3 linked regions of the Macaca fascicularis genome follow. The protein of the gene in region 3 interacts with the protein of the main gene of each other region in a pairwise test. Links are inferred from orthologs where the notes say so. Each region holds a gene or a part of one and is shown on either strand. Other genes may lie near its edges. The genes, in order: RNF144A, RNF125 and UBE2L6.

Region 1 (3,648 bases), on a different chromosome or scaffold from region 3:
TGTGGGTCCTCATGCCTACGTCCCACTGCCAGCCCAGTGCCTGGCCAAGTGAATGCTGACGTCAAATCTCACCATGTATTGTTTTGTTTTGTTTTTTTAAAACAAAGTAAAGCTCAGAGAGATTAAATAATACAACGGGTTATCCACCTGTAATCAGGCCCGACTAGAGCCAACACCTGAAAATGTTACCATCTCACAGTAGGATCAAACCCAGCATTCCAGCCCCACGCCAGGCAGCAGCCCGGCTGGGCAGGGTAGTAACTGCAGGGATGAGAGGGGATGCTGGGTGCACTGTCATCTGTCATGTGCTTCTGAAAGGAAACTGTTTTAAAAGGAAAGTCACCTTTTTAAAAAGTCTTAGGCGTTTTTAAGCAGGGAGTTCTTAGAGACCCGCTTCATTAATCTGCTATAAATACACCTCTGGGAGATAAGAATTAACATTAGTTTCCTCTAGTGTGCCAAAAATATATTATTTGCTCTGTTTGAAAATATGTCTCATACACTACACACGTATGTAGTACGTGTTGGGGAGGATAATGGGGAGGATAATGCAGAATGTTAATAGACATCTACACCTGAGCCTGGGGCCGTGTTCACAGGATGTGACGTGCCGTGGCAGCACAGGAAGCACGTTTGCAGTCAGCAGTCTGAGCAGCCATTTGTCCCTGACCTTTTCGATGAGGAATCTGTCCGTATGAGGACAGGCAGTGCCAAGTCACAGCTCTGTGAGGACAAAACTAATAAGATTTAAATCGTTCCCATGGAAACCTTAGCCAGGTCTCCCCTGCATGCTGTCCTGGGGGGCCTTTCGTGATGGGGGTGCATAATAGCATCTCCCACTCTTGAGCCAGTAGGCTGGGCAGGAGGCGGTGCATGACCATCACGTGCATGAAGAGACCGAGACCCAGCTTTGGGACATCTGCTCCTTGCTGATGTCAGAAGCTCCTCACCGCACAGGAGGGGTAGGGACAACAGTGGGACGGAAGGGTCCCTGGCAGGCAGCACTGCCCTTCTGGGTCTAGCCCCAGAGCTATATGGGAGGAGAGCAAAGAGTGAGCGAGGATTTCTCTTCGCGCGCAGTGTATTGTTCAGTGCACAGAGCACTTGCATCCTCCTGCAGGGCTGGGCAGACACGGGCCTCCTATCTCATCAGGGACAACGCTGGGCTCACCCCACAGCATGCACAGACGGCAGGCAGCGAGGTGTTGGAGGCATCGCAGGTACGGGATGGGAGCGTGACCCAGGCCAGCTGCCTTTAGCCTTTGGCGTTTCCTCCTCACTGCTCAGTGTGGCGCTCGGTGCCCCAGGCCGGCACGTGCAGCCCCTCCTTGCTTTGCTGTGGACCCTCAGCTCAGGGGAGCGCCAGGCATCTGCCCCCACACAGGTGACCCACAGACAACAACTACATTTTCTCAAAAAGCCACTTGTCAGAACTGACAGCTAGGAGCATTCTTAGGAAAGCAAATGCAGAAACTATCCACAAGTAAGAGAAGAGCTAAATGTGTCCATTCACTCAATGTGAGGAGCACCCTGGGGATTTTAGATTATTCTAATGAAGATAATTAGAGTAGAGCACCTGTTCCTGACCTCCAGTGTTCCTCATTATTATCAAGTTCTTCTTAATTTTCTACCACCCCTAACATTCGGACGGTTTTTGTGCTGTTGATTAATTCACGCTTTAAAAAAAAGGCAGGGGGCAGCCAGATGAGATCAAGGGTCAGCCTGCCATGGCCAGTGGGCCAGATCCAGTCCGGCCAGTGGCCTGCTGCTGTCAAGTTTTGCTAGAACATTCATTTCCAGGTCACTGTGTCTGCTTTTGTGCTGCAACAGCAAAAACCCAGTAGTTACTGCAGAAACCCAGAAACAACTTGGTCCTCGACTTCTATGATGACTATCCGACCCTCTACAGAGGAAGTTTGCCAGCCCCTGGATTAGATGACTAGATTAGTTTAAAGCTAGACCCTACACAAGATGGTTTCTAGAGCGCTGAATCTGGCTTCCCCGTGTACTGGGGGAACATGTAAACACACAGAGCCTTACACGTACATATGCGTGTGCACCGTCAGGACACCCAGCTGGTGATTTGTCATTCATTTGCTGCTGGTCCCGTGGCAATGCGTGTAGGTGAAGTCCTGGTCCACGTGTGGTGCCAGCCTGTTGTGGATTCCAGTGAGAGGAATCCCATGTGTGATGCAGGTGAGCGGGAGCTGCCCGGCTGCCAGTCACAGGGCCCGGACATTGGCAAGGACTTGTCATCGCCTTTCAAGTCGTCTCTGAAACTCAGTTGTCCCGACAGACGACGACTTCCCAAGAAGAGCCCCGCTGAAAACTTAGAAACCAGTGGCCCACCAGAACGCCTTTGGAAATAGCCCACATTGCACTGGCCTCGGAGAGCTTTCTGGCGGAGCCTGCCTTCTCCCCGGGGTGGCCCCTCATCGAGAATTCGGCGTCATGCCGGACAAGAGGGAAGATTAAATGAACAACCAGTCTCCTTACAAAGGGCAGCCAGTAATTTAAAGAAATGTAATTTTTGGACAAGGATGTGAAGAAATAGATGTGTCAAGGTGTCCTGTTTTTAGAAATAAGCTTCTTGGCCAATTCCATAAGATTGGGCTCTTAGAAATGTGCGCTGTGATTCGGAGAGAAAATCTGGCCCTTGAAGGGTTGGTTTCACTCCGTAGTTAACTCATGGCTTGGATTTGAGAAGGGGAGGCCATCTTAGGCAGGTGAACTATTTGGTTAGAAGAATAATCCAGCCATCTTCTTCCCTCTTCCTTTCCGTCTTCTAACAGCGTTTTCCTGGTGCTGGGTGTGTGCCCAACACGGGCCATCAGGGGCCCGGCTTCAGAAAGCTGTCCCCTACGGGAGGCAGATGAGCTAGCACGATGTGCGTTGCTCAGAGAAACCTGACAGGCAGGTGGGACAAGCTTTCCAGAATGTGGAGGCCTTTGAGCTGTGAGCTGAGTCCCAGAGGCAAGCAGGGCTGACCCAGGGCTCCAAGGGCATTCCAGGGACAGGAGCAGCATTCCTGAGGGATGCCTGGGGTGTCTGGAGGTCTGTTGCATGAAGGGAGAGGTTGGGAGGTGGAGGTGGAAGGGTGACTTGGGCAGTGCTTCGGTTGGGGCTGGTGGTTCTGGCTGTATTACCTGGATGTGTTTCTCTCTGTCCGTGCACTGAGGGGCTCCTTCCTCTGAAGCCCACATGACCCTCTGGCTTAAGTTTGATTTGCCCATTTTGTCTCCCTATACCAGAGGTGCTGTTTGATCCCTGTCGGACTTGGTGCCCAGCGTCCACCTGCCAGGCTGTGTGTCAGCTCCAGGACGTGGGGCTGCAGACCCCCCAGCCAGTGCAGTGCAAAGCCTGCCATATGGAATTCTGTTCCACCTGCAAAGCCAGCTGGCACCCTGGCCAGGGCTGCCCGGAGACCATGCCGATCACCTTCCTTCCCGGGGAGACCAGGTACCCTTTGTACACACTCTGCCACAAAGGCGTGGGCTGTGGGCCAGGAGAAGCAGGCAGGCATGTTTCTTCCTAAAAGTGCCGTTACAGTGTAAGTGGCTGTGGCTCAGTCAACCCTAACACACACTGTACCTCTTGAGCCTCACTCAAGCCTGTCATTATTTGTATGTCTATTTATTTTTGAGAACT
Region 2 (3,662 bases), on a different chromosome or scaffold from region 3:
TCCTGACCTCAAGCGATCCACCTGCCTCGGCCTACCCAAAGTGTTGGAATTACAGGCGTGAGCCACCGCGCCCGGCTGATCACATTTAAAGGGCGGGATGGGGAGAGTACAAACAACAGAGGAAATCCTGAGCCGCAGAGGAAACTGGAGACGGCAGGGTTTAGCACTAGAATATCTGTAAGAGAGGTAGGATTGGAATCTGAATCTCCAGAACTCTTTCCACTACCCAGGCTCTCTCTCCATTAATGGACTATTGATTGGACGACAGAGTAATGATAGCACCGTCTTAGGAGACGTCCAATCATAGGTCATAGTTCAATGCAGCTTATTGTGATTACAACAGTGGAGGATGGTCCTTACAAGCGGCTGTTCTCTGATTACCATTAAGCATGGCCACGCCCGCACTTAACTTCTGACAGTGGGGAAAGAGGCTGTGTGTGACAGCTTGGAAGGTTTACTACTGCCTCAAGTCCTCTTCTCTGCAGTTGAGGTTTCAGGTTTCAATCCTCCCAATACCACAAGACAAAGCACCTGGCGGCTGCCGCCTCCGCCTCCGCGCCTTAACCTAGGCGGTTTGCCGAAGATTTCAGCCCCGCGGCCGCGCACTCGCCCTGCCCTAGACCAGGGTTGGGCGCATCGGCGGAGGTTGCTTCTTGGCTGCGCGAGCTGCGCGCGCTGGGAGGCGGCGATCGCAGCTGGGCCGGGACTTCCTTCCTCCACCGCACGACAACAAAACAACCCTGCAGCAGGCACTGAGTGCTTGGCAGCTGTCTGGGCGAGAGGCACAGCGATGGGCTCCGTGCTGAGCAGCGACAGCGGCAAATCGGCTCCCCCCTCTGCCACCCCGCGGGCCCTGGAGCGCAGGGGGGACCCGGAGTTGCCCGTCACGTCCTTCGATTGCGCCGTGTGCCTTGAGGTGTTACACCAGCCTGTCCGGACCCGCTGTGGCCACGTGTAAGTGCCAGGGGAGCTCGGTTTGGGCCCACCCCTAAGGAGGGCGATGTCGGGAAGCTGAGGGCATGGTGTGGGGAAGGAGGGGGACGGAAGACAGCGCCTTAGGAAACTGCTGCAGAGAGAAACCTGGACCCGTCGGGTGCGGGGCCACGGGGAAAACGCCGGTCGGAAGGTGACACAGGATTTCGGGAGGAGAAAAAAGAAACAATCGGGCCCTGCAGCCCCCTTGCGCTGCCTCCTCCCGAAGTCCAGGTGCGGAGCTCCAGAGAAGGGGATCCAGGCACGGGTCCCGCCCAGAGCCAGGGCTCGCCAACAGGGGAGGGTGCTCTTGGCTGGAGAACGAGCGCTCGCCCGGGCACGAAAAAGAAACGAGCTCCAACTGCAAGGCAGGGGCTCCCTCAAAGCGCAGGTACCCCGCTGAACACGGTGGAACAGGCTGCGCTTCCCTCTGCCCCAGAAACTCGGGTCCGTTTTGTTTTGCTGGAGCTGTGCACGTGTTCCCAGAATGCCCACAGAGGCTCGTCTTAAGCAAACAAGGATCTGTGCAAAGTGTTTTTTCCACCCCCACCCCTGCTACCCTTTCCCAACACAGACACCCATCCCCTCAAAGAGCAAGTCAAACTGGAGCTTCCGAGTGACTTTCCACAAGTCGTTAGAGTTTAACAACCTGCTAGGGTGGGGCTTGGACGTTAGCCGCAAGCCCCTGAATGTACTCCTCCAAAACCCAGCCACAACGTGACAGGAGGTGACAGACTACCTGCTTTACACGCCGTCTCTCCAAACCGGCAGAAATTACAGAGTAAAATAACTTTCTCAAAACGGCATAGTACTTAGCTAAAACTCACAGTTGGTGCAAAGCCGTGGTCGTTTCTAAGAAGAGTTTAAAAACAAAGTTCCTATATAAAATTGGCACATGCTTAATGTGTGCTTGAGTAACTGGTGAAGTTGGATCTGTGAATTCGTGCTGTTTACTTTGTGTGTGTGTGTGTGTGTGTGTGTGTGTGTATGAGAGAGAGAGAGAGAGAGAGAGATAGTCTGACTCTGTCGCCCAGGCTGGAGTGCGGTGGCGGTGGCAGGATCTCGGCTTACTGCAACCTCCACCCACTGCAACCTCTGTCTCCCCGCCTCAAGTGATCCTCCTGCCTCAGCCTCCCGAGTTGCTGGGATTACAGGCGCCCACGACCACACCCTACTAGTTTTTGAATTTTGAGTAGAGATGGGGTTTCACCATGTTGGCCAGGCTGGTCTTGAACTCCTGACCTCAATTGATCCACCCACCTCGGCCTCCCAAAGTGTTGGGATTAAAGGTGTGAGACACTGCACCCAGCCTTCTCTCTTTGGTTTGAATTTTGTTCGTGGATGTGTGTGTGTGTGTGTGTCTGCACGGATCAGAAGCGGAAGCCTACTTAATGTCCTTTGAAGGGTGACTATAGTATGATGAAGCCCTGTGTGATACCACAGTGGCATGTACTTGTATTTGGCTTAGCAGGAAGAAAGAAATGCATTTGGCTTAGCAGGAAGAAAGAAATAGCATTATTGCTTCTGAGGATCACTTTTGAAAGGATTTAGGTAGTCCTTAAAAACATGTTGTGCACTTGCATTCAGAAGTTTTGAGGCCGGGCATGGTGGCTCACACCTGGAATCCTTAGGTGATCCTTAATACCTATAGCCTTGTATCTGAAAAGCAGTTTTCACCACTGCCCAACCTGTGAGCCAGGGAAAAAAGTGTGCAGCCTGCACAATGTATAAATAAAGAGTGCTTTGGGCATTATTTCGTAGCTGTATTTTCGAGGCCTGTTGTTTCAGCTTTGTTCTTAAAACTCGAGGCTTAAATTTACCCTCCTTTCTGATTACTAATGTTGCTCAGCTGTCCAGATGTAGCTCATTAACGTAATATCCACAGGCCAATCTGGAAGCCAAGATGGGCTGTGTGAGTCATAAAATATATTGATTATTTTAGGGCAATAACAGCCTAAAGATACCTCCATTGAAATTGAATCATTATTAGCCTTAAAACTTTGAAGTTGTGCAAAACATAAACAGTGGGCATTTTGAAGATTCTTTTTGGAATAGACCGCTTTGCTGCTAATTCAATTATCTGACTGGAGATTGTTTTCCTGTTTTGGACTTTGAATAGTATAACTTACCATTTACAATATTTTTCCTTCTACTAAAGGATAATGTAAGTTTGCAAAATGTTCAATTTTTTGTTTAATCTTTTTCTTTGTTAAAGTGAATAGGAAACTAGCAACTGGAAAAATAACCATAAAATAGCATTACAAGGGCTGAACAAATTGCCTTTCCTCTCTTTACTGTTCTTTGTTTTGACAAATCTATGTCCATTGTTCTAGCTGTGGGCAGAATTTCCATATTCCTCCTTTTGGCAAACTTACTTGGGCCCCTTCCACTTTATAAATGTTAACCAGAGTCTTTTCTGCTGTAGAGATTATGAGCGTTGTTAATGCCATTTGTACATTCTAAATGAATTACTCTTTTCCATTGAAATTAAGTTGGAAAATGAATAAATGCAAATGAACCTTCTGTATTTTATTATCCCATATTGAAGCTACAGTTTCAGACATATTGAACTAGGTGGTTTATGCTGATTTTCAAGTCAAACAAGTTTAATAGTAACAGCAGTACCTTGACTGAATATGTACAGAGCACTTTATAAGTTGTATTGTGATGCAGTAGTAACTGGCCCTTAT
Region 3 (3,648 bases):
TTGTGTGTATATGCCACGTTTTGTTGATTGATCCACTTGGTTTGCTTTCACCTTTTGGCTGCTAGAAACATTGGTATACAAATACCTGTTTGTTTTCAGTTCTTTGGGTATCTACCCAGAAGTAGAACTGCTGGATCATATGGTAATTCAGTGTCTAATCTTTGGAGAAATGGCCATACTGTTTTCCACTGCAGCTGCACCTTTGTATTTTCCTGAGTTCCTGAGTTCTTAGGATTTCCTCATTTTCTCCATTTCCTCACCCCCATTCTAATGTTCTAAGAAAGGATGTTCCATCCTTTTCTTCCATAATCTCAGAAATCCATGAAAGCTGAGATGGTCCTTAGAGCTCATCTAGTCCATCTTTATCCACTTTACAAATGAGGAAACTGAGGCCTAGAGGTGGGAAGTGGCTCAACCGTGGTCACACAGCAAAAGCCTGGATCAGACTTCTCTGCCTCCCAGGCCAGTGCCCTTTGGTGATTTCACATTTTCACTAATCCATGACTCAGTTGTCAAATGAATGCAGGTGCTGTGCGTATCCTGGCTCATGTGTCCCCCTGGGAGTGAAGCAGAGGATGCCTAGGACCCTGGGATGGGGGCAGGAAGGGAAGAAAACCAGACCGGAGCTTGACCCCTTTTCTCTCTGCACAGGACCAACCTCCCTACCACCTCAAAGCCTTCAACCTGTGCATCAGCTTCCCGCCTGAGTATCCGTTCAGGCCTCCCATGATCAAATTCACAACCAAGATCTACCACCCCAACGTGGACGAGAGCGGACATGTTTGCCTGCCCATCATCAGCAGTGAGAACTGGAAGCCTTGCACCAAGACTTGCCAAGGTGGGGCTGGGCTTTGCCCGGAGGAGGGACTGATACTGGGTAGAGATTACTGGAAGGGGGTTTCACAGACTTATTCTGAGCTTGAAAAGCCCCGAAGAGAGGAGGTGAAAATTGTGAGTCTTGGCTGAACTTACTGTGAGATAGAAGGGATGCTTCCTGGACAGACTGACCTCTCCTGCCTCTGTTCCTGTACCTGGGCAGTTGTGACAGAGGAACATTGCTGTGGTTCACGAGAGAGGCAGCCTGGCTGTACAGGGAAGGGCTCGGGATAAGAAAGCCCGCTGTTCCCTCTGTGGACTTTGGGCAAGTTTTCGTTCCTTTCTGGGACTCGGTGTCCTAAATGACAGTGGAGGGAACTGGCCTCATAATGAGAACAGCTGTCACTTGACTGAGCACTTTCAGCGCTGTGCTGAGAACATCACATGCGGACTTCATTTTCATTTCCTCCACCACCCCGTGAGGTAGTGTTGTCGTTAGCCTTGTTGAATAGACCCGGACATTTGAGGCATGTGAGAGGCGAAGTGGTTGCCTAAGGTCATACAGATGGCAAACGGCAGCACTTGGCTGAGTCGCGAGCCACATGTGACTGTTGCAACTGAGGAACTCAGTTCTTTTCCTTTTTTAAGACGGAGTCTCGCTCTGTCGCCTAGGCCGGGGTGCAGTGGTGCGATCTCGGCTCATTGCAACCTCTGCCTCCCAGGTTCAGGCGATTCTCTGGCCTCAGCTTCTCGAGTAGCTGGAATTACAGGTGTGTGCCACCACATCCAGCTAATTTTGTGTTTTTAGTAGAGAGGGATTTTGTCATGTTAGCCAGGCTGGTCTCGAACTCCTGACCTCAGGCGATCCGCCTATCTTGGCCTCCCAGAGTGCTGGGATTACAGGTGTGAGTCACTGCGCCTGGCTGGAACTCAATTCTTAATGGTACTTAATTTTAATTTTTTTTTTCTTTTCTTTTGAGACACGGTCTGTCTCTATTGCCCAGGCAGTTAGTTCAATGGTGCGATCTTGGCTCACTGCAACCTCTACCTCCTGGGCTCAAGCCATCCTCCCACCTCAGCCTCCCGAGTAACTGGGACTACAGGAGCATGCCACTACACCTGGCTCATTTTTGTATGTTTTGTAGAGACCAGGTTTTGCTATGTTGCCCAGGCTGGTCTCAAACTCATGAGTTCAAGCCATCCACCCATCTTGGCCTCCCAAAGTGCTGGGATCACAGGTGTGAGCCACCGTGCCCAGCCTGATTTTGATTCATTTAAATTTAGATGCCTGCCTGTGGCTAATGGTTACCATATTGAACAATGCAGCTGTAGAGCCTGTGACTGAGTCAGTGTGCAATCCTCTACCTGGACCACCTCAGGAGTTTTTAACTCAGGAAACAAAAGTCCTTTGCTTGGTGGGAGTGGGAGCAGGGAGAGGAGTGGTCCTTGGATGAGCTTCAAGGGGTCTGGGAACTATCTGTTTTGCACGTGGAGTGTGCGTCTGTCTCAGGAGATGGGCTGCTACCTTCACCAGGTTCCCAAAGGCATCTGTGAAAGATGAAGAGCCAGGGGGCCATGGTGGTTTTCAGTCTTTAGCCTTAGACCCCTTTTGCCCAAGGAAAAGTTTATTTGGACTATCAATATAATGGAGGAAAACAGAGTAGTTTCTGTTGAAATGGGGATAAGACCCAGAAACCTCACTTATTTCAGTGGCTCCCATGATGAAGAGCTTCTCTGAAGCCATGGAATGTAGTTGTTTGAAAACCACTGATGTCATCAGTCAAGGTCTTGGGTGTCACCAACCAAGAATGAGCGGGGTGTTTGATCCGGTCATAGAGTCAGCCTAAGAGATGGAACCTTTCCTCCAAGGAGTGGGTGTGGAGTGTCAAGGCATTGGGAGTGGGCAGCCGTGACCCCCTTCCCTCTGCCCTGATGTCCTGGCCTGTCTCTCCCCAGTCCTGGAGGCCCTGAATGTGCTGGTGAATAGACCGAATATCAGGGAGCCCCTGCGGGTGGACCTCGCTGACCTGCTGACAGAGAATCCGGAGCTGTTCAGAAAGAATGCTGAAGAGTTCACCCTCCAATATGGAGTGGACCGGCCCTCCTAACTCATGTTCTGACCCTCTGTGCACTGGATCCTTGGCATGGTGGATGGACACACCTCATGGACTGAGGCCAGAGCCCCCTATGGCCCATTCCCCACTCATTTTTTCTTTCTTAGGTTGTTAGTCATTCGTTTGTGTGTGTGGGGTAGAGGGAAGGGAGCTGTGAGTGTGTGTGTTGTGTGTGGACTCACTCCCGGGTTCACCTGGCCACAGGTACACCCTTCCCACAGCCTTTGCATCCCCCAGAGCCAAGGGAGTTTAAGTTTGCAGAGTTACAGGCCAGTTCTCCAGCTCTCCATCTTAGAGAGACAGGTCATCTCGCCGGCCCGCTTGCAGGAAATGAGCCCAGCAGCCAACTCGAATCCCCCTAGGGCTCAGGCACTGAGGGCCTGGGGACAGTGGAGCGTATGGGTGGGAGACATATGGAGGGTACCCTATTTACACCTGAGTCAGCAAAGCCACTGATGGGAATCTACAGATTTAGGTGCTAAACCGTTTATTTTCCACGGATGAGTCACAATCTGAAAAATCAGACTTCCATCCTGAAAATCTGTATGTTTCAAAACCACTTGCCATCCTGTTAGATTGCCAGTTCCTGGGACCAGGCCTCAGACTGTGAAGTGTGTGTCCTCCAGCATCCAGTCCAGGGGGAGCCACAGAAACCATGATCTTGCTTAAGCCATTAAAGTCAAAGATGAATTCTGGAGTGCAGCTGAGTCTTTGATGA

What was found.
Region 1: the proteins of UBE2L6 (region 3) and RNF144A interact in a two-hybrid assay, tested with the Homo sapiens proteins (2 studies listed by BioGRID and IntAct). The link is inferred for Macaca fascicularis from reciprocal best matches to the Homo sapiens genes UBE2L6 and RNF144A.
Region 2: the proteins of UBE2L6 (region 3) and RNF125 interact in a two-hybrid assay, tested with the Homo sapiens proteins (3 studies listed by BioGRID and IntAct). The link is inferred for Macaca fascicularis from reciprocal best matches to the Homo sapiens genes UBE2L6 and RNF125.

Annotation. Positions count from the first base shown.
Region 1 is NC_088387.1:115,097,525-115,101,172, reverse strand, and holds part of RNF144A (E3 ubiquitin-protein ligase RNF144A), read left to right. Parts: intron 1-3,251; coding exon 3,252-3,459; intron 3,460-3,648. UniProt on the Homo sapiens protein: E3 ubiquitin-protein ligase which accepts ubiquitin from E2 ubiquitin-conjugating enzymes UBE2L3 and UBE2L6 in the form of a thioester and then directly transfers the ubiquitin to targeted substrates.
Region 2 is NC_088392.1:57,852,050-57,855,711, reverse strand, and holds the start of RNF125 (E3 ubiquitin-protein ligase RNF125), read left to right. Parts: upstream 1-751; 5' UTR 752-790; coding exon 791-954; intron 955-3,662. UniProt on the Homo sapiens protein: E3 ubiquitin-protein ligase that mediates ubiquitination and subsequent proteasomal degradation of target proteins, such as RIGI, MAVS/IPS1, IFIH1/MDA5, JAK1 and p53/TP53.
Region 3 is NC_088388.1:16,061,175-16,064,822, forward strand, and holds the end of UBE2L6 (ubiquitin/ISG15-conjugating enzyme E2 L6), read left to right. Parts: intron 1-651; coding exon 652-838; intron 839-2,772; coding exon 2,773-2,924; 3' UTR 2,925-3,614; downstream 3,615-3,648. UniProt on the Homo sapiens protein: Catalyzes the covalent attachment of ubiquitin or ISG15 to other proteins. Functions in the E6/E6-AP-induced ubiquitination of p53/TP53. Promotes ubiquitination and subsequent proteasomal degradation of FLT3.